Schizosaccharomyces pombe: one gene and its partners. The gene in region 2 interacts genetically with the main gene of each other region. Each region holds a gene or a part of one and is shown on either strand. Other genes may lie near its edges.

Evidence for each region.
Region 1: of slx8 (region 2) and pli1, a mutation in one rescues a mutant of the other (synthetic rescue), as found in Schizosaccharomyces pombe (5 studies listed by BioGRID, with this or other methods).
Region 3: of slx8 (region 2) and pmt3, a mutation in one rescues a mutant of the other (synthetic rescue), as found in Schizosaccharomyces pombe (4 studies listed by BioGRID, with this or other methods).

Annotation. Positions count from the first base shown.
Region 1 is NC_003424.3:906,319-912,691, reverse strand, and holds pli1 (SUMO E3 ligase Pli1), read right to left. Parts: upstream 3,997-6,373; 5' UTR 3,854-3,996; coding exon 3,821-3,853; intron 3,769-3,820; coding exon 1,618-3,768; 3' UTR 1,419-1,617; coding exon of another isoform or gene 1,014-1,418; 3' UTR 838-1,013; downstream 1-837. Other genes in the region: rpl44 (ribosomal L28e protein family domain-containing protein), read left to right, coding at 1,014-1,418; mini-chromosome maintenance complex-binding protein mcb1, read right to left, coding at 4,259-5,602, 5,647-5,808; DNA replication factor C complex subunit Rfc4, read left to right, coding at 6,337-6,373. UniProt on the Schizosaccharomyces pombe protein: Acts as an E3 ligase mediating SUMO/Smt3 attachment to other proteins. Involved in the maintenance of the centromere and in telomere length. Regulates recombination, via extension sumoylation, particularly within the heterochromatin repeats.
Region 2 is NC_003423.3:1,287,136-1,291,931, forward strand, and holds slx8 (SUMO-targeted ubiquitin-protein ligase E3 Slx8), read right to left. Parts: upstream 3,077-4,796; 5' UTR 2,826-3,076; coding exon 2,016-2,825; 3' UTR 1,880-2,015; coding exon of another isoform or gene 1,101-1,879; 3' UTR 1,064-1,100; downstream 1-1,063. Other genes in the region: AP-endonuclease Apn2, read left to right, coding at 271-1,063, 1,101-1,879; U3 snoRNA associated protein Dip2, read left to right, coding at 3,429-4,796. UniProt on the Schizosaccharomyces pombe protein: Mediates ubiquitination and subsequent desumoylation/degradation of sumoylated proteins and proteins containing SUMO-like domains. Acts as a critical suppressor of gross chromosomal rearrangements (GCRs) during normal cell cycle progression.
Region 3 is NC_003423.3:2,504,524-2,511,097, forward strand, and holds pmt3 (small ubiquitin-like modifier pmt3), read left to right. Parts: upstream 1-2,321; 5' UTR 2,322-2,370; coding exon 2,371-2,499; exon of another isoform or gene 2,500-2,593; coding exon 2,594-2,743; exon of another isoform or gene 2,744-2,792; coding exon 2,793-2,867; 3' UTR 2,868-3,036; coding exon of another isoform or gene 3,037-4,680; 3' UTR 4,681-5,135; coding exon of another isoform or gene 5,136-5,477; 3' UTR 5,478-5,527; coding exon of another isoform or gene 5,528-5,622; intron 5,623-5,640; 3' UTR 5,641-5,673; downstream 5,674-6,574. Other genes in the region: SPOM_SPBC365.04C (RNA-binding and ribosome biogenesis protein), read right to left, coding at 1-475; splicing factor Slu7, read right to left, coding at 784-1,923; tmf1 (TATA element modulatory factor-like protein), read right to left, coding at 3,037-4,680; Der1 family protein, read right to left, coding at 5,136-5,477, 5,528-5,622, 5,674-5,911; kin17 (KIN17-like protein), read right to left, coding at 6,262-6,574.

The DNA of each region.
Region 1 (6,373 bases), on a different chromosome or scaffold from region 2:
TTCAAGACGGAATGGCTTTAACATTTCTTCAAAGGATAAAATCCTTATATCAACTTTAAATATACACCATTTTAAGTAAGTTGTTTTGAGTGAGTATTTGTTGTCGCATTTCTCATAAACCCTAAACTTTTACTTCAAAAAAAATCTACTCTGCCAAAAAAATCAGATAAACAACTTGTGCTCTTTAAATAATTAGTTAGTGTATTCTTCTTGTGTATTTATAAAATTCTAAAAAAAAGGAAAGTTGTAACGGAATTTAGTTTACCATAACATGATTCCGCTAAGTTTGCTACCGTTCGGACAACTGTTTACACATTAAATTAATTAAATTCTTAGAACGAATATCTACGGCCATACCTAGGCGAAAACACCAGTTCCCGTTCGATCACTGCAGTTAAGCGTCTGAGGGCCTCGTTAGTACTATGGTTGGAGACAACATGGGAATCCGGGGTGCTGTAGGTTATTATTTTTGTAGATCTTTAATTATTAATTCTTTAAACATTCCACTGTTAAAGTCCGGAAAGAAATAATAAATTTACTTCATTTTCAATTTATGAGATTGTTTGAATGCTTGGTATGCAACTTTGATATCAATAATTTGTGTTAAGTTTTCAGAAACGTCTGTTAAGCCATAACATAAGCAACATATACTCCTTTATAAAAACAAGAGTACCATTGCTAAGGATAATTACACCAACAAAAATATCGCAAGCTTAAATACTTACTCAAATTGGTAATCAGCTTTATATGATCAGGCAACTTACACGGTATTCATTGTGAAGCTTTCATTGGAAGCAAGTCTAAAAGCAACTGAATGATCTAAATACAAATGAAAACTGGGCTGTTCAAACATTATCATTTACTTAAAACGAGAAATTCAATCTAAACATTTAACGTACTTCAATTTATCTCGATATTTGGGAAATACAAAATATTTTGACCTTTACAAAAAAGGCAGTCACATGCAAGTACTTTCCAAACTTTGGCATGTGAATTTGTCCAGCACTTTCACCATGTCTGTTAGCAACGATCTCATCTGGCAAGTTATCCGTGACAACAACCGCTTTCTTGTTAAGCGTCCCGAATTCGGTGGCATTCAATTCAACCGTGAGCCCGTTAACGTTTCTGGCAAGAACGCTCAACGCTTCTCTGGTCTCTGCAATGACAAAGCCGTTGGTGTCCAAGCTAACAGCCCCCGTGGTGTTGTTTTAATTACCAAGACCAATCCCAAGAATGCTCAAAAGCCTGCCAAGCTTTTCCGCAAGGATGTCATTGCCAACGCTTCTTCTCGTAAGACCTATAAGAGCATTGCTGGTCGTATCGGCAGAACTGGCTATCGTGATGATCTTGTCAAGGTTTCCGTTGCCCGTGCCTCCGCTATTCTTTCTTCTCAACGCCCCAAGAAGACTGTTGCTTAGACTGATGGTTTTAAATAAAATCTTTAAAGGACTATAAACAAATCTCTATTATGCTTCCATGATTGATAATAGGCTTGATTGTATACGATAGCTTGTAGATGTTGGCTTTGTTTTTTGAGACTGTATTGTAAATAAAAAAGTTGAGATTTAATTTAAACTAATAATATAATGGTAATTAGCATAACGTTATTCACAGTTATTAATCTATACTCTGAAAAGTGTTTCCCGTTCCTTCAAATCCGGAATTATGATAGGAGTTATTTGACTGTAACTCAGAATTCCAGTCTACTTGAGCATCTTGTTGTTCATCCCACAGCGGTCCAGCCGTCTGCGACAACAAATTCTTTGGCAGTTGAGGATGTGCTCGAGGTATGGGCATCGCAGAAATACTTTGTTCATTCTCATCTTCATATATACCCTTATTTTGCTTTTCAATTCTATAAGAGGGTCGTTGGGGTATTCTTTCATAAAACAGACTATGGTTTTGAGAGAGATTGGACGACTGGGCATCCTCATGTGCGTTATTAGTTTGAGTTGTATTTTTCAAGTGCAACGGTGGAAGAATTAAATCATTCATGGTGAAGCTTTTAGAACTGGCAGATGAATTAGTCCTGTTACTTTCTGGTATGGAGAGATTAGTAATTGCCGTTGAAGGAGTAACGGATAAGGGTGGTTCATAAGGAGACGGCACTATTGTATGTAAGTTTATTGAGTGCTGTGTATTCGAATTGTTATTATTTTGTTGAGAAGGGGCCCTTAAAGCACCGGATAACAGTCCGCCTTCGCCAGCATATCCCATATGGACAGAGGATTGAGCGCTTTCACTTGTAGAACGCTCTCTTGATGCTGGGGAGTTTTCAACCGTGTAGTCTTTGAACCCCGGGTGACCATGTCTGACGTTTGTTGACCTGTTCGATATGGCAGTGTCGATGTTAGGTGACTGTACATTTCGACTCAAAGAGTTCTCCTTTGTAGCATTAGATGGCGATTCCGTCGTGGATGTTGCCACATTTTCATCATCATCAGATATTGTTAAATCAATTACAAGTGACTCACGTTTCCTCTTTGCAGGTGGACCAGAATTATGAGTAGATGCCCTCCTCGTAGGTTGATCATTGGACTTGTTAGCCATCGTAGAGATACCTTCCCCATCGCTCAATTCGATTACCTTTTCTTTTGGTACAAATTCATCTTCCGAGCTTTCGACGGGTTCATCAAACGTATTTAGTTTCCAGTTTCCTTCGGGATCAACAGTAATAGTTTCTGAATTGCTTGGAGTACTTTCTAAAATATGTTGCATAAAACCATCAATTATAAGGTCGGAAAACTGGATATGGGAAGCGCATACTGGACACATCCAAGAAGGTGTCTGTTTATTCATTTCTAGAAAAGCAGAAGCATCAAAGCATTGGATATGCTTACAAAATACAGATCGCACTGGTAGTGATATTCGAGAAAAAGACAAGGGGCACTTTAAAGATATATCAGTTGATGTAGCGATAATATCGGCATCCTGATTGTCATTTTTTATACGCTCAATAATTTTTTCTTTTGACTCAGCTTTTCTGCTCTTTATTTGATCCACAAGGTTTTCAATTGTATACACTTTAACAAAGCAAACCACAACAGAATAGCTTTTTGTAGAATTCATATAGTAAATGACAACGTTATTACCAGGAGGACCGGCGTACTTGGAGACTAAATCGGTTATGTCAGCCGGATTTGTTGTCCCAGGTTTCCCCTTCAGCCTTCGATAATTAGCATGAGCAACTTGATTATTTATACGCAACTCCATTTGAGGAGTTGGAAACTCCATTAAGCAATTACCGAAGCCTATGGTTTCTGAGGGCGTAGAAAAAAGATAAACACGATATTGTTTAGGATCATTAAGTAATTTTGATAGAGCAGGGGGAGTTACATGAAAAGAGAAGGAGATAGTATTACGAGTGCCGACACAAGCAGGTACAACGAAAGGTGCATTGAATTGTTCCAAAATGTCATAAAAGGGACTTTTTCGAAATCGTATTCGCGAATGAACAACTGGGGCGAAAGGACGGCTGTATGATCTATTTCCAGAAGCTGAACTAGGTGGAGCAATTGGAGCAGCAGCACTATATATCTGATATGTGTTGTACTTTAAGATACATACGGCACTTGTAACATCGCCATCGATTGCCTTTTTCAATGCTTCCCAAGAGGTTGTGTTGTTTTCTATAGCTATCCTCTCTATTAGTTGTTTAATTCTGGTAATGAGCTCAGCTTTTGTTCCTGAAAGACGAAGTCCAAAAACACGAAGTATATCTTTCAGTTGAGGTATAATAAGACCAGTTTCCAGTCGCTTTAGTACATTCTAAACATTCATTTTGTTAGTTAACTTGTAAATATCTTATTATTGGGCTTACTGGAAGCTCCTGTAAAAAGTTCGCCTGGTTCATTGAGTTTTTAGACTGCTTGCCTAAACCGTCGATTTACACATATGTTATATGCAATGACTGCTTCCGTATAGGTATTTGAAAGACAAAGAAATCAAATTTTAGCTAAAAATACAATGAATTATATTTATTCCTTGAATCTCTGCAAACGCCTGGTTGGCAAAACTTGAATTTAATATTTGAAGATAAGGAAGTATATGGCAGTGCGGTATGTGATAATGTAAGAAAACAAAAAAAAAACGGGCAAGTGAGCTTTACTTGTAGTAATAATTAAATAACAATATAAATGAACTTTTGATGAATTTGATCGAATGAATGAGGAAATTAACTTGGAAATTCCAAAAAGACATGAAAAGTAATTTCTAACATTGGTTAAATGATGTTGATTATAAGAAAATATGCGATCAATCAGTTGACAGTCCAATGATTGATTAGACTACGGGCAGCCTCAAAATCAATTCTTGAAACCAGTTGACGACCGAAACTCTTCGCGTAGAGACGAGAGCAATTGATCTGTAATGAAAGTGTTTTTTCATTGATTTCTTTATTATATTGACGGGAGCTCACATATGTAGATTGAATATAATCCAGCATGTTTTCGGGAATATTAGCACGCATGTTCCACATGTGAAAAAAATTACAAAACTCTTGCAGCTCATCCGAATCAGTTGGAAATTCAATAGTGTCCGGAGAATCGCCTCTACATCTACAACCGACATCAGCTGGCAAAATAGATCTTCCATGGCTTAATATAATTATTCGAACATTACTGTGAACGGTAAAAGAACTGAAAGGATAAAAAAATGTTAAATCCTGTTGAGATATTAGGGAAGACAAAAACTGAACGTTACGGCATCCGACATCGTTTAAGGTTCCACTCGATAGTTCAGTTTCATCAAGAACTATAAGGGTGCCAGGAGCCACTTGCAAATGGCTAGTATCTAATGTCTCTCCATCACTCAAGGGATAAAGCGGCTTCCTGTTAAGCTCGGCGACATTAACTTTTTGAATCACCATTCTTTTTATCAAAGGCCGTAACACAGAAACTAACTGGGACACTAATTCAGAGGTGCAATTTGTTAAATTTAAAGTAAAACCACCTATAACCAAACCAGTGGTTTTATGAACAACGTTGGAAAGAAGAGCAAGCATAAGACTTTCCGCAGCTATATTTTCACCAAGGACTTTTTCAAAATATTTTAATATTTTTGGTCGAATGATCTCAGCTTGCTGAGGAGAAGGGGCTTGAGTAGCTGATTGCGTATAATCCTTAAAACATAACATGTGTAAAATGGGTAAACCATCCGAGTATTCACTTGGTTCTTCATAAATTCCAATAACATCGATTGCTTGACAAACTTGAACTTTAGTTTCCATTCCGCCATAGCATTTAACACAAACGCCGGTATCATTACTTGCTTGTAAGCGGTTTGAGTACTTCAATGACCGTTCTTTCAGACTCTCGCTTCCCCAGTTTCCCAAAGCTTCTATAACAGGAAGAGTTCTTTCTCCAGGAACATTTGTCAGAAACAGTGAATATCTTTCATCTAGGACAATTTTAGATTCATCTAAATGCATTTCATCTTCGCTGAAATCAAGTATGTATCTACAGCCTCTCCAAATGTTTTCATTTACCTCTACAGCTCCAGCAAAAAATTCATGCCCAAAATTGGTGTCTTGCACCATACCTTGAAGACGAAGTAGTTGACCAGTCTTTAACTCAGACCATTTGCAGTCAAGATAGTTTGGAATCTAAATATTCAGTGTCAAATAAGAGAAAAAACCACTTAACAAACCTTTCTTATTCTTTCCTCTGTAGCGAAAATATTAGAAACTTCTTCATCGATGCCTAAAGTGCCTTGTAAATCGGGCTTAGATCCTGCAAACAATGCATCCTGAAATCTTTGAAGAAACGATCTTGGATTTTCGATAAAAGAATCAGATAAAGCAATTACCATATTATAAATATATAATTTTATCCTTTAAACCTATTGAAACCAGTAATGATAAAAGATGTTGATATTGCAATGTGCAATGTTCATTTCACGTGAGCGGATTGACTTTAAGTACCCTTTTCTATGGCGTTGCATATACCTAACGATGTACTAATTGCTGTATAAATTCGCTTAATAAGAAGCTTAATTTATTAAGAAACAGAAGGCGTGAATTTAAAGAGTTATCTATTGCTTATTACTACTCTTAAAAGAGAAAAATATTAGAATTTTACAGATTATTGATCGTTTTTGTAATAATATAAATATATTGATGTGCTTGTTTTCATCATTTGTGTCGATTGTACAAACATATATTTTAAAGCTAGCTTTGATAGTGCATTTAAGAATAAAAAAAATTTTCAGATTTACATATTAATGCTCTTTTCTATTCGCGATGGGTGAAGTGACTACCATGCAGTGGTTAAAATACTCAACAAATTTACTAGTTCACTGGAACTCAGTACTGATGTTACTAGTTCAATAACACTGAATATGAGTAATGCAGTATCATCATCAGTATTTGGAGAGA
Region 2 (4,796 bases):
TTTCTAGCACAACATGTATACTCGTTTAATGACATATATTTAGAAAGAATCATTAGATTGTTTACAGTTGTAACTCAATATTAGTCAATCTAGAATTTTTTTGAAAATCAACATTCAATAGGGAGAAGGTCGAAAAGAAAAGAAAAAGTTCATTCTCGAATTAAACAAATGCATTTTATTTTCCATCAGATTAACTTATGTCAACAATTGTAAATTCAAAAGTCTGTCGCCTTTACCTTCGCACACTTTCTCTACGTAAAAATTATAAGAATGCGAATTCTAAGTTGGAATGTGAACGGTATACAGAATCCATTCAATTATTTTCCATGGAATAAAAAAAATTCCTACAAAGAGATATTTCAAGAGTTACAGGCTGATGTAATATGTGTTCAAGAATTGAAAATGCAGAAAGACAGCTTTCCTCAACAATATGCAGTTGTTGAGGGATTCGACAGTTATTTTACATTTCCTAAGATCAGAAAAGGCTATAGTGGGGTTGGATTTTATGTAAAAAAAGATGTTGCTATTCCAGTGAAAGCAGAAGAGGGAATTACTGGCATCCTGCCAGTACGAGGACAAAAATATTCATATTCAGAAGCACCGGAGCATGAAAAGATAGGATTTTTCCCAAAAGACATTGACAGAAAAACTGCTAATTGGATTGATAGTGAAGGAAGGTGTATATTATTAGATTTTCAGATGTTCATCCTAATCGGTGTTTACTGTCCAGTAAACTCTGGAGAAAATAGACTAGAATATCGACGGGCCTTTTATAAAGCCTTACGAGAAAGAATTGAAAGATTGATAAAGGAAGGAAATCGAAAAATCATTCTCGTTGGGGATGTGAATATTTTGTGTAATCCTATTGACACTGCTGATCAAAAAGACATTATTCGAGAGAGTCTTATTCCAAGCATCATGGAATCAAGACAATGGATACGTGATTTATTACTACCAAGCAGGTTGGGACTACTGTTGGACATTGGCCGTATTCAACATCCTACTCGGAAAGGAATGTTTACATGTTGGAATACAAGACTTAATACAAGGCCCACAAATTATGGTAAGTTCTGAATTGTTATTTTTTTTACAATGGATAGGTACGAGAATTGATTACACTTTGGCAACACCCGATTTATTACCTTGGGTTCAAGATGCAGATATTATGGCTGAGGTCATGGGTTCAGATCATTGCCCCGTATATTTAGATTTAAAAGAAGAATATGAAGGAAAAAAGTTGTCCAACTTTCTAAGTCACTCAAAAGAACCACCTTTACTATCAACGGCGCATCATTCAGCCTATCGGCCATCAAAAAATATTCATTCAATGTTCCAACATTTCAATTCGATGAAAAAGAATAAAAACAACTCACCCACTCAGAGCGAAAACGTATCTGCTTCTGCGTCCAGCGGCTCCTCACCAACTGTTTCTCGTGCAAACTCTGTCATAGACGTCGATGCCTACCCACCGGAAAAGAGAAGACGAAAAGAACAATCGAAGCTTCTTTCATTTTTTGCGAAGCAAAAGGAAGAGAAAGAAGAAACCAATAAAACAGAAGACGTTTCGATTGAGGTCCTTGATAACAATAATGAATCTGACATAGGGTTGACAGTAAAAAAAAAAGTAGAAAACGGGAACGCCTGGAAGCAAATATTCAGTGAACGAGCTCCTCCACTTTGTGAGGGTCACAAGGAACCTTGCAAGTATTTGACAGTGAGGAAGCCGGGAATCAATTACGGGCGGAAGTTTTGGATTTGTGCCAGACCGGTTGGTGAACTGATTAAAAACTCAAATGCAGTTTCTGAGGAAGATACTCAACCGTTCCAATGCAGGTTCTTTATCTGGGACTCAGATTGGAGAGCAAATTCAAAGGACTGAAAATTTGTAATGACTAGCATAACTTGCTCTTAATCAATTCTCAATTTTGATGTGTATAAACCGCAAAAAGCATTGAGCAGTGCATCACACATCTTTCATTAACATTCTTAATATGTATATACGGAATTTTGTACGGTTAAGATTTCTTTTTTTGAGATCCGAGCATCATTTCCAAACATATAACTTTGTTTGGATGTACTTTTCTTCTGCACACCGGACATTTTTGTGTGGCAGCCGTTGTACCTAAAGCACTTAGTATACAAAAATTGCAAAATATATGCCCACAGGGAGTACAAGATAGGTTTTCCGGACTATCCAGACAAATTACACACTTATAATCAGCTAGTCGTTGTGAAGATGGAACAACCTGTTTTTTGCTAGGTTCTTCTTTTTCAATTTCGGCGTTGGTGGTCGATGGGTTCTTTCCCTGTTCAAATTTTTGTTTTCTTGGATCATAGGAAGTCTCATCAGTTAAATCAATCATATCGCTTATAGTAGTAGGTTGCGCGTGAATACTATTAACATTTGTTAAACTGTTTTCAACGGAAGCTGGATGATTGTTGTAGGTGAATCTTTGATTTATGTCATCAGCATCATTCTGAAAATTAATGTCTTCCAAGTCGAATACTTCACTTTCCACATCTATGTTTAAATCAGAGGTTTCAACAGGTAGTGTTTCTTCTTGTGCTAGCTCCGAAGCAACCTCTCTTAGCGACCTTGGTGCACGATTCAGTGGTAAAGACTCATTCTCAGAGGTAGTGCCTGAAGGATAGTCTGTTGCATCTTCTGAAACCGGAAATCCGTTTCCTGGCGAATTCTCTACTGGAGAAGAACGTCTCCTATTTATTGCTGCATTTCCAGCTGCGACTCTAGCGGATTGAGATGGGATATTGTATGGTGCAGATAAGTTTCTAACGTTGGTATCTCTCTTATGTGCGGGTGGCATTTTTTTGCCAATTGGTCCTGAAATTCGAAAATAGTTTATAGATTATTGATTAATGGGCTAATATTAGGATAATTTTGATCGTATCCTAATCGATTGTCAAATGCTTTTCAGGCTTGCTAGAATAATAAAAGAGAATTGTGTTAACGTCAATATACGCAAACAGCAATTATTTTGGCAACTTGCCAACAAGTTTAAAATTAAATTTAGTAGACCTATGATTTTTGAAGTCTACATGGAAAAATTGGCTCACTACCACAATGTTGTAAGATGCTAGTCTAATTAATATTTATGACCTTTTTCATGAGCACATTCAATAGCGCAAGCGGTATTTCAAATAAGAAAAGAGAACAGAAAAGCTGGTAAAACTTAATTGTGTATCAATAATCTTTTCAATGCAGTTCATTAAACTGCGCAACCGACATTATTATGAGTATTCCATAAACTATGCAAAAATGTATTATGGAGTGCATTAAGGAATGCTAAAATAAAAAAACGATAACAATGTATATCGCTATTTCTTTTCCAAATTGTTGAATATTAGAGGAGTGTATATACTTAGCATCAACCAACGCCTTTTTTTTAATCTAGGTCTGGGTAGACGCAATGGTCAAAAGCTATACGCGGTACGAACCAACCGAATTTTTTGGTGTCATTGCGTCTTCGGGATGTAATATTCTCGGTCAACCCTCTTCGTCTGCTAAATCTGTAGGCAGAGCCATTGTTGGCGGTCTTGAGTCTGTTTTGGAATGGGATTTAAAGACTGGGCAATTACTATCAAAATGGAAGGATTCTGATTGTTCGGCAAAAGTTACTTGTATTGCAAACTTTGATGAAATGTACGCTGTGGGCTATGCAGATGGTTCTATACGTCTTTGGAAAGATGGAGAGCTCTTAATAACTCTTAATGGTCATAAAAGTGCTGTTACTACCATGGATTTTGATAAAATGGGCACAAGATTGGCCAGTGGAAGCATGGATACCGACATTATTGTATGGGATATTGTAGCTGAAACCGGCTTGTTTAGACTACGTGGACACAAGGACCAAATTACCAAGCTTTTGTTCATTACACCTCCTTCGAAGAATACAGCTGAAGAAACAGTGGTGGACACAGATATTGATTCCGGCGACATGGACGTTGACAGTAAATCGTCTGATTCGTTTCTTTTGTCTGTTGGCAAAGATTCTTTTATGAAGCTTTGGGATTTGTCTATTCAGCATTGCGTTGAGACTCATGTCGACCACCAAGGCGAAATTTGGGCTATGTGTGTTTCACCAGACGCCAAACGGTGCCTCACTGCTGGTACCGGTTCTGATGTTAAAGTTTGGGAAATCAGTTTTCCAGATGACAATAATTTCACTCCAACTACTAAAGCATTTCAGCAATTAGGTACCTTTACCCGTCAAAGCCGTGACCGTCCCATCACCTTGGCTTACGACGTTTCAAACCGTTATGTTGTATTCCAAGCTCATGACCGTCTTCTGGAGGTTTTTCGCCTTCGATCAAGTGCGGAGCTCGAAAAGATTCTGAATCGACGACGCCGTCGTAAAAAGTCTGAGGACGTTTCGATCACGTTAAAAGACGAATATGAACCTTTTGCTCTAATTCGAACCACTGCTCGTGCTTCGTCTGTAGCTTGGATACCAGGAAATCGTACACCTACGTTGGTAACATCTCTTCAAAATAACTCAATTGAAGTTTACGCTTTGGATGTCAAATCTGAAGGTTCTGCTGCACCATTAACTGAACGGGCTTCGCGTATAAGTGCCATTGAAATTCCTGGTCATCGTGCTGACGTTCGTACCTTGGCTTTGTCCGCTAATCACGATGTGATTTTAAGCGGTGCTAACGGCTCTTTGAAGCTTTGGAACAAGAAAACCACATCTTGTATCCGTACAATCGAATGTGGTTATGTACTTGCTGCTAGCTTTATAAATAACGACAAGTGTATCGTATCCGCTTACAAATCA
Region 3 (6,574 bases), 1.2 Mb from region 2:
AAATAGTATGATGAAACTTTAAAGCTTTTGAAATAACATCGGTCTTGGGATTTATAAACTCAACGAATGCATATCCTTTCTGACGACCACTAGTTTTATCGGTAGGAATACGAACCGAAGGAACTTGACCTGCGCGTTTGAAATGAAGTTGTAGAGTTTCAACAGAAGAATCCTTAGGCAAATTACCAACAAACAAAATGACCTTTCTGTCATTATTTTTCCCTTTCTGTCGTTTGCTTTTCAAAGTTTTATGAGGGGGATTTGAAACGCTATGTTTATCTTTATCATTTGATTGTGCTAGTTGCTTTTCTGGTAGTTCATCTCTCGATATTTTGTCAGCGGCTTTCTTTTCTAATTCCTCATTCTTTTGCTGTACTTTCTTCTCATGCTCTTCCAAACTTTGCGACTTTTTATCAAATTTTTTGGAGCGGTATTCCAAAGATTTTAATTTCTTTTTCGATAGTTTCGAAGACATTAAATAAAAATTTGATAATGGAGAATTGAAGGTGTTCAGTACAAAAGTTCCTCTATCCATAGGCAAGAATATTTTAACGATGTTTACCCTTCTGACAGAATGTATACATAACAAAGTTTCTTAAAACTTCGTTAAACAAATCTGGAAAGTACAATTGCACCATCGCTAGACAATATCAGAAGTCTCTTGTTCAACGAAGTAAGATAAAATTTAAAGAAATAATAACAAGTTAATTAGTGTTATATTTAGAAAAATGTCATTGCAGTACATTCAGTCATTATTAGATATTATTAGATATATAAATAAAATCATAAGTCCCCTTCAACAATAACTAAGTTTTCGGATTCTTCATCTGTGTTCGACTCTCCTTTGCTTTTTTCAGATTTATCAAGAATAGCTAAATCCGGAACTTCTTTTTCGTTATTTTTTGCTTTTTTGTCTTTCACTTTAGAGGTACCATCCCCATAACGATCTAATATGCTTTGATCAATATGTTTCTGGGTAGTCATACGAGATGCCTTGTTTTTTCGAAATTCCAGCTCACCAGCTGTTGGATTGGCTACAACATGGACACGAGTTCCAGAACGCTCAGCTTCCCAGGCAAACATTTGTAGTTTTTCGAAGTCTTCTTTTTCACCACCAGATGCTTTGACAAAGCCAGCACCTCCAGAAGAATCATCCACCATATGATATCCAGTTTCGTCTCTCATTGATCTGGATTTGGGTTCATATTGTAAGTTTTTATTGTCAGCTCGCAAATACGCCACCACATCTTCTCGCATTCTAAGGCTTGGTGTAGTTATGGATGCAGAATCTTCGGAACCAGAAACGGTGGAATTTCTTGATGCTTTAACAGCAGAATTTTCTGACGCATCCCTATTCTCTTCCCCCTTATTTTGTAATTCGTCCAATTTTTCATATCTCTCAATAACTTTCTTATAATCCGTGGCATCATAGCCATTCCAACGATCACGTTTCGCATCCCATGAAACGTTGATATCTTGAATAACTTCGTCTGCTTGAATATCTTCTCCTGTCCAACGAGCACCCCGCTTTCTTGGTCGCTCCATGCAATCTTTAACTTTATGGGACATGGCTCCACAATTCTCACAAGCACCCTTTCGATATTTTGTAGCAGCAGGTCCTAATTTTTTCCCTCTAACGTACCAAGAGCCTTCAATGGAGGAACGACCACCACTTGGTGTCTCTTTCTTGCCTATCCTTTGATGGGCTAATCTTTCGACCGCATCATCATCCTGAGCATACCAAGGAGCGGTTGAAATGAATTTAGGAATATAGGGATTATCAGCATCTGGATTATCCATAGGACGACTACGACGCTTCTGTGCCTTCATTTCACGCATCGAAGGTCCAATGTCTGTTGACATAAAGTTTTTGTCCTTAGAATAATCATAATTAGATTGAAAAGTATTATTCATATAAGACATTTTTAAGGTAAATAAATAAGAATATTAATGCTTGATTATTATGCCAATTAATTCGAAAATATTAAAAAGATTCAAGTAAAGGTTTAACACCGATGAAATCAACAAAATTGTCTTTTATAACAAAACGATATAAACCGGCTTATTTATCGACGGCTTTATTTTTATAGTTCGACAAATATTTGCTAGCGTTTCAAAAATTCTTGTAGATTTGCAGTTTACGGTTTTCTAACCATTGTTATAAGCAGAGTAAACGTAGTAAGCAAATAATTAACGTAGCTTTAAGACACAACTAAACAAAATAGTGGAGTAGATTTATACACGTTATATTATATACCACATTACGCTATTCTTGCTTCAAACAATCACAACAGTCATTCCTGATCTATGAGAATTTGATTGTACCCCCCTGTACCTGTATATTCGATTTTATATAGTATCTGAGAAAAAATGTCTGAATCACCATCAGCAAACATTTCTGATGCTGACAAAAGTGCTATCACTCCTACCACAGGTGACACTTCGCAACAAGATGTCAAACCATCCACAGAGCATATCAATTTGAAAGTTGTCGGACAGGTGTGTGCTACAGCAAGAGACTTTCATGCTATTCCTGTCATCTTTTGCTTTCAAAAGTCTTTAATGCACGAATCGTGAAGCTAACTTGATGTAGGATAACAACGAAGTATTTTTCAAAATTAAAAAGACCACTGAGTTCAGCAAGTTAATGAAGATTTATTGTGCACGACAAGGAAAAAGTATGAACAGCTTACGTTTCCTTGTTGATGGGGAACGTATTCGTCCAGATCAAACACCTGCTGAGGTAAGTTTTAAACTTTTACAACAAAAGCCGGTACTAACTATACATTTAGCTTGATATGGAAGATGGCGATCAAATTGAGGCTGTCTTAGAACAGTTAGGTGGTTGCACCCATCTATGCCTTTAGAGTACAAGTATTTTTAAGCTGTTTCATATACTCAAAACTAATATTTTGATTTTGCCAATACGTTTATCATCTCCAGCATCGTCGCTCAAAATATTTGAAAGAATCAATGAAATTAAATAAAATGATTTATATTAAAATTATTTTTTTTTAATACAAGTTTTTCCAAACGTTATTGCCTGCCTGCCAATATATCAATTTGACTGACATAAAGTTCACGCATATCCTTAATGTCCAGCTCTAATTCAAACACTTTGTCACTTTTCTGCTTAAGTGTTACCAACGTACTGGCATGCTCTTTTTCGAGGTTCTGTAATTGTAGTCTAAGCTCTTCCACTTGCTTTTTTGAATCTTCATTTGCATCATTATTTACATAGGCATCAACAATTTCTTGACGGGCCTGATCTCTTTGGATTATAAGTTGCGCTACTTGCTGCTTAGTTGTTTGTAGTTCGGCTTCTAATCGGCGAATTGTGGTAGCAAGTTGCTCCAAAAGACTAACATCAGGAACATTCCCGGCACCTTTTTCAAGATTGCTGGGTGTCCCTGATGTTGGTGATATTGCCTCAGATTCGTATAGGCTAAATTTTCTTGAAGCTTCCGAAGGAGGAGAAAGAACTGCACTGCTTATGGAAGCATACCTTGACTGAGCGTTTATACCCAACTTTCGCGCTTCTGATGCTGATCTGGAAATTCTGGATCTCTCTTCTGAAGGGGAAGGAAGATTATCCAAAAAGTTTTCTAAAGCATTCCGTGTATCGCTTTGTGGGATTTCTGAAAAACTCAAAGGAGATGGTTGCGGACTTGTTGAAATATTTAAGGGATGTAGGTCGTCAAAATAATTATCTTTGTCATTTTCTAAAGCTTCATCACGCTTGCTCATAGATGAAGGTATCGGAATAGCATTAGTAGGGGTAGTGGGATCTTCATCTTCTTTGGTGACTTTAAGCGTATCTACCTTTCCAACCGTATAATCATTATTTTCAGGAATTCCTCCTGTAGTGACAATTTTTTTAGGCTTAGATTTAACATTACTTCTTATATTAGTGTCAAGCTCCCTTTGTAATCGGTCTAGTTGTGTTTGTAAGTCCAAATTTTGGGCTGCTAAAGTATCATTTTCCTCTCTCAATGTCATATTAAAAGCCTGAGAACTCCTTATTTCTTCATCTTTCCTTTCACAAAGTTTCTCCAATGAATCTAACTGTTTAGACATTTGAGATACTTGATTCTGGAAAGTCTCACGTTCCCTTTCCCAATTCTTTGCACCATGCTCGGATTTCTCATAAAGTTCTTTCAGGTCTTGAATTTCCTTTTTCTTCTTTTCATCTTCACGTACCCATTGACTCCTTTGAATCGAATACTGGGTTGAGAGGGTCTCTACTTGACGCGTAAGACGAACAACCTCCATGCTTTCTACTGTAAGTTCTTCCATTTTTCTTTGAAGATCCTCCTTTTCTTTCTCTAAAATTGATATCCTCTTTTCAAATTGAGACTTTTGTAGTTCCAATTGTTCCTCCATCTCCTTTGAGTCAGATACCTGTAATTCCGGAGTCGCTTGTTTCTCGTCTAGGCGCTTCAACTTTGTTTCAGCTTCACTTAAACTCTTTTTAAGTTGCTTAATTGTATTGTTTAACTTTAACTCATTTTTTGAAAGCGCCTGTCCTTCCGTAAGAAGCTTTGCGATAATCTCATCTTTTGATTTTGCATTTCCTCGTGACATCTCCTCAATCTGATTACCGTCTAAGACTTTGTCAATACTGGTTTCAACATTTGACATTGCTTTCTTAAGAAAACCTCCCCATTTTGAATTCTCCATGCCTGCTTCACCGTACACTGGCTGGTAGTTGATCTGTGTACTCTACGTGGTATAGGCCCACTTTACTTTATGAACGTAAAATAAAAGATTTCTAAGTGCATATGCCTCGCACGTCAATTTGTACATATGTTTACTTTAGTCTATTGGTGAAGGATAAAAAAAGAAATTTAGATAAGAACATTATAATAAAGGGCTACATTTCAACAAATTAGTGTAGTTCGGATTTTTAGCTATCAGCATATGAATGAGAAAGCCGTCGTGTTCGTACAGGAAAGAAGTGAAATATTATTCATCAAAAATTTGAAATAGTGGAACTCATTGATGCATTATTGAAAATTGTGAAAGTTTGCCTACCAGACTCGACAGGTGATGAATGGAGTAAGAAATATTGATAAAAATTTCGAACACGTATCGACTGTTTTTAACGCACTTAATGAAATCATCAATATGAAAAATTAAGTGCCTAACTTTTTGCCCTTCCCAATGAATGTTCCAGACACCTTTTGGGAATTCAATTTGGGAGAGTTGGAGCGATGGACAACAGGAGTGTGAATCGAATCAAAAAAATTGACGATCATTGCAGAGATAATACCAAAACCCAATACTACTAGAGATGGAAGACCTCCGGTTAGAAAGCTGAAGCCAAGAAGAACATATGGCAAATATTTGCCTTGAACATGAAAACCAAACAAAAACTGGATTTTGGAAAATGAGTTAAACAAAGACCAATTATAAGCAATGGCAGCGGCAAGCGATTGATTTAACGCGCTTCCAAGTCCTGAGATCAAGGAAAATGCCTAAAGAGAAACGTTAATAAGCATACTTTAGACCTTCAAATACTCCTTACATCAATTAAAAGAGCAACTTTAACTAAATAAATAATGTATTTTTTTGCATTCCTAGCAAAGACAAAGTTTTCCAGGTATGTGCTATATTGGTAAACTATTGACAAAACGTTAGAATTTAAATACAGGTTTTAATGGATTTACGTACAAAAATAAATGTTCATGATAAAATCAAATCCAGTTCCAGCATAGAGATAATTAGTAAATAAACGATACCATTGTTTCTGACGAACGACTAACGGATAATGCAGAACTAGCATCGAAGGTGAAAGAAGTTGACATAAAGTTAAAATTGTGGTAGCTGCTGTTCCAAGCAGAATATACCTTGTTACAGGAGGTATTCTAGACAGCAATTCTTGTATTTGACCGGAAAATTCCGAAGCCATGTCTTAACTGATTATGTTTGTTCAGGCAAGGTTGTATACGGAATTGTGCTACAATTACTAACGTATCGAACATTTTCATATATATGTACTATAGTAAAATATAAGTTATTAAATCTCTAACTTAGATCAAGTGAAAGCAAAATTATATGAAATTTGGAGCTTTCATGTATTTTACAGCACCTTCAAATCAAGTAGACTAAGCTAGCAGAAAGGCTACTAAATAACACATATACGGTTAAATAAGCTACATTAAAAGTAAAAGTACAAGTACAAGCGTATTTTTTTTATAAATAATAAACCAATAAATAAATTCTCACTTTTGAAGCCTTTTAAAAACGTCAATTCTCCGGTTAGAGCTTTATATTGCGTCTTTTCTCTCTCATTGTTTCTTGAGCAATAATGTCTTCAACAGCTGACCGTGGCCTTTTTACATTCTGCCCTTGATCTAAAGAATCCTTATTGTTCTTTTTACGGCTTTTATTCAGCTCTGCAAAAACATTTTTTGGTTTGTGCTTCAAGGAGGTCTGGGAGGATGAACTAGAAAAAGAAAATGTGGGTGTATTTCTTGTTTGAAAAAATTCATTTTGAGCAGAGTGAGAATCTGAAGATGAGGATAAATTAAGTTGAATCGGGTTTCCTTTTTTTGAAAGATCAATCTCATGT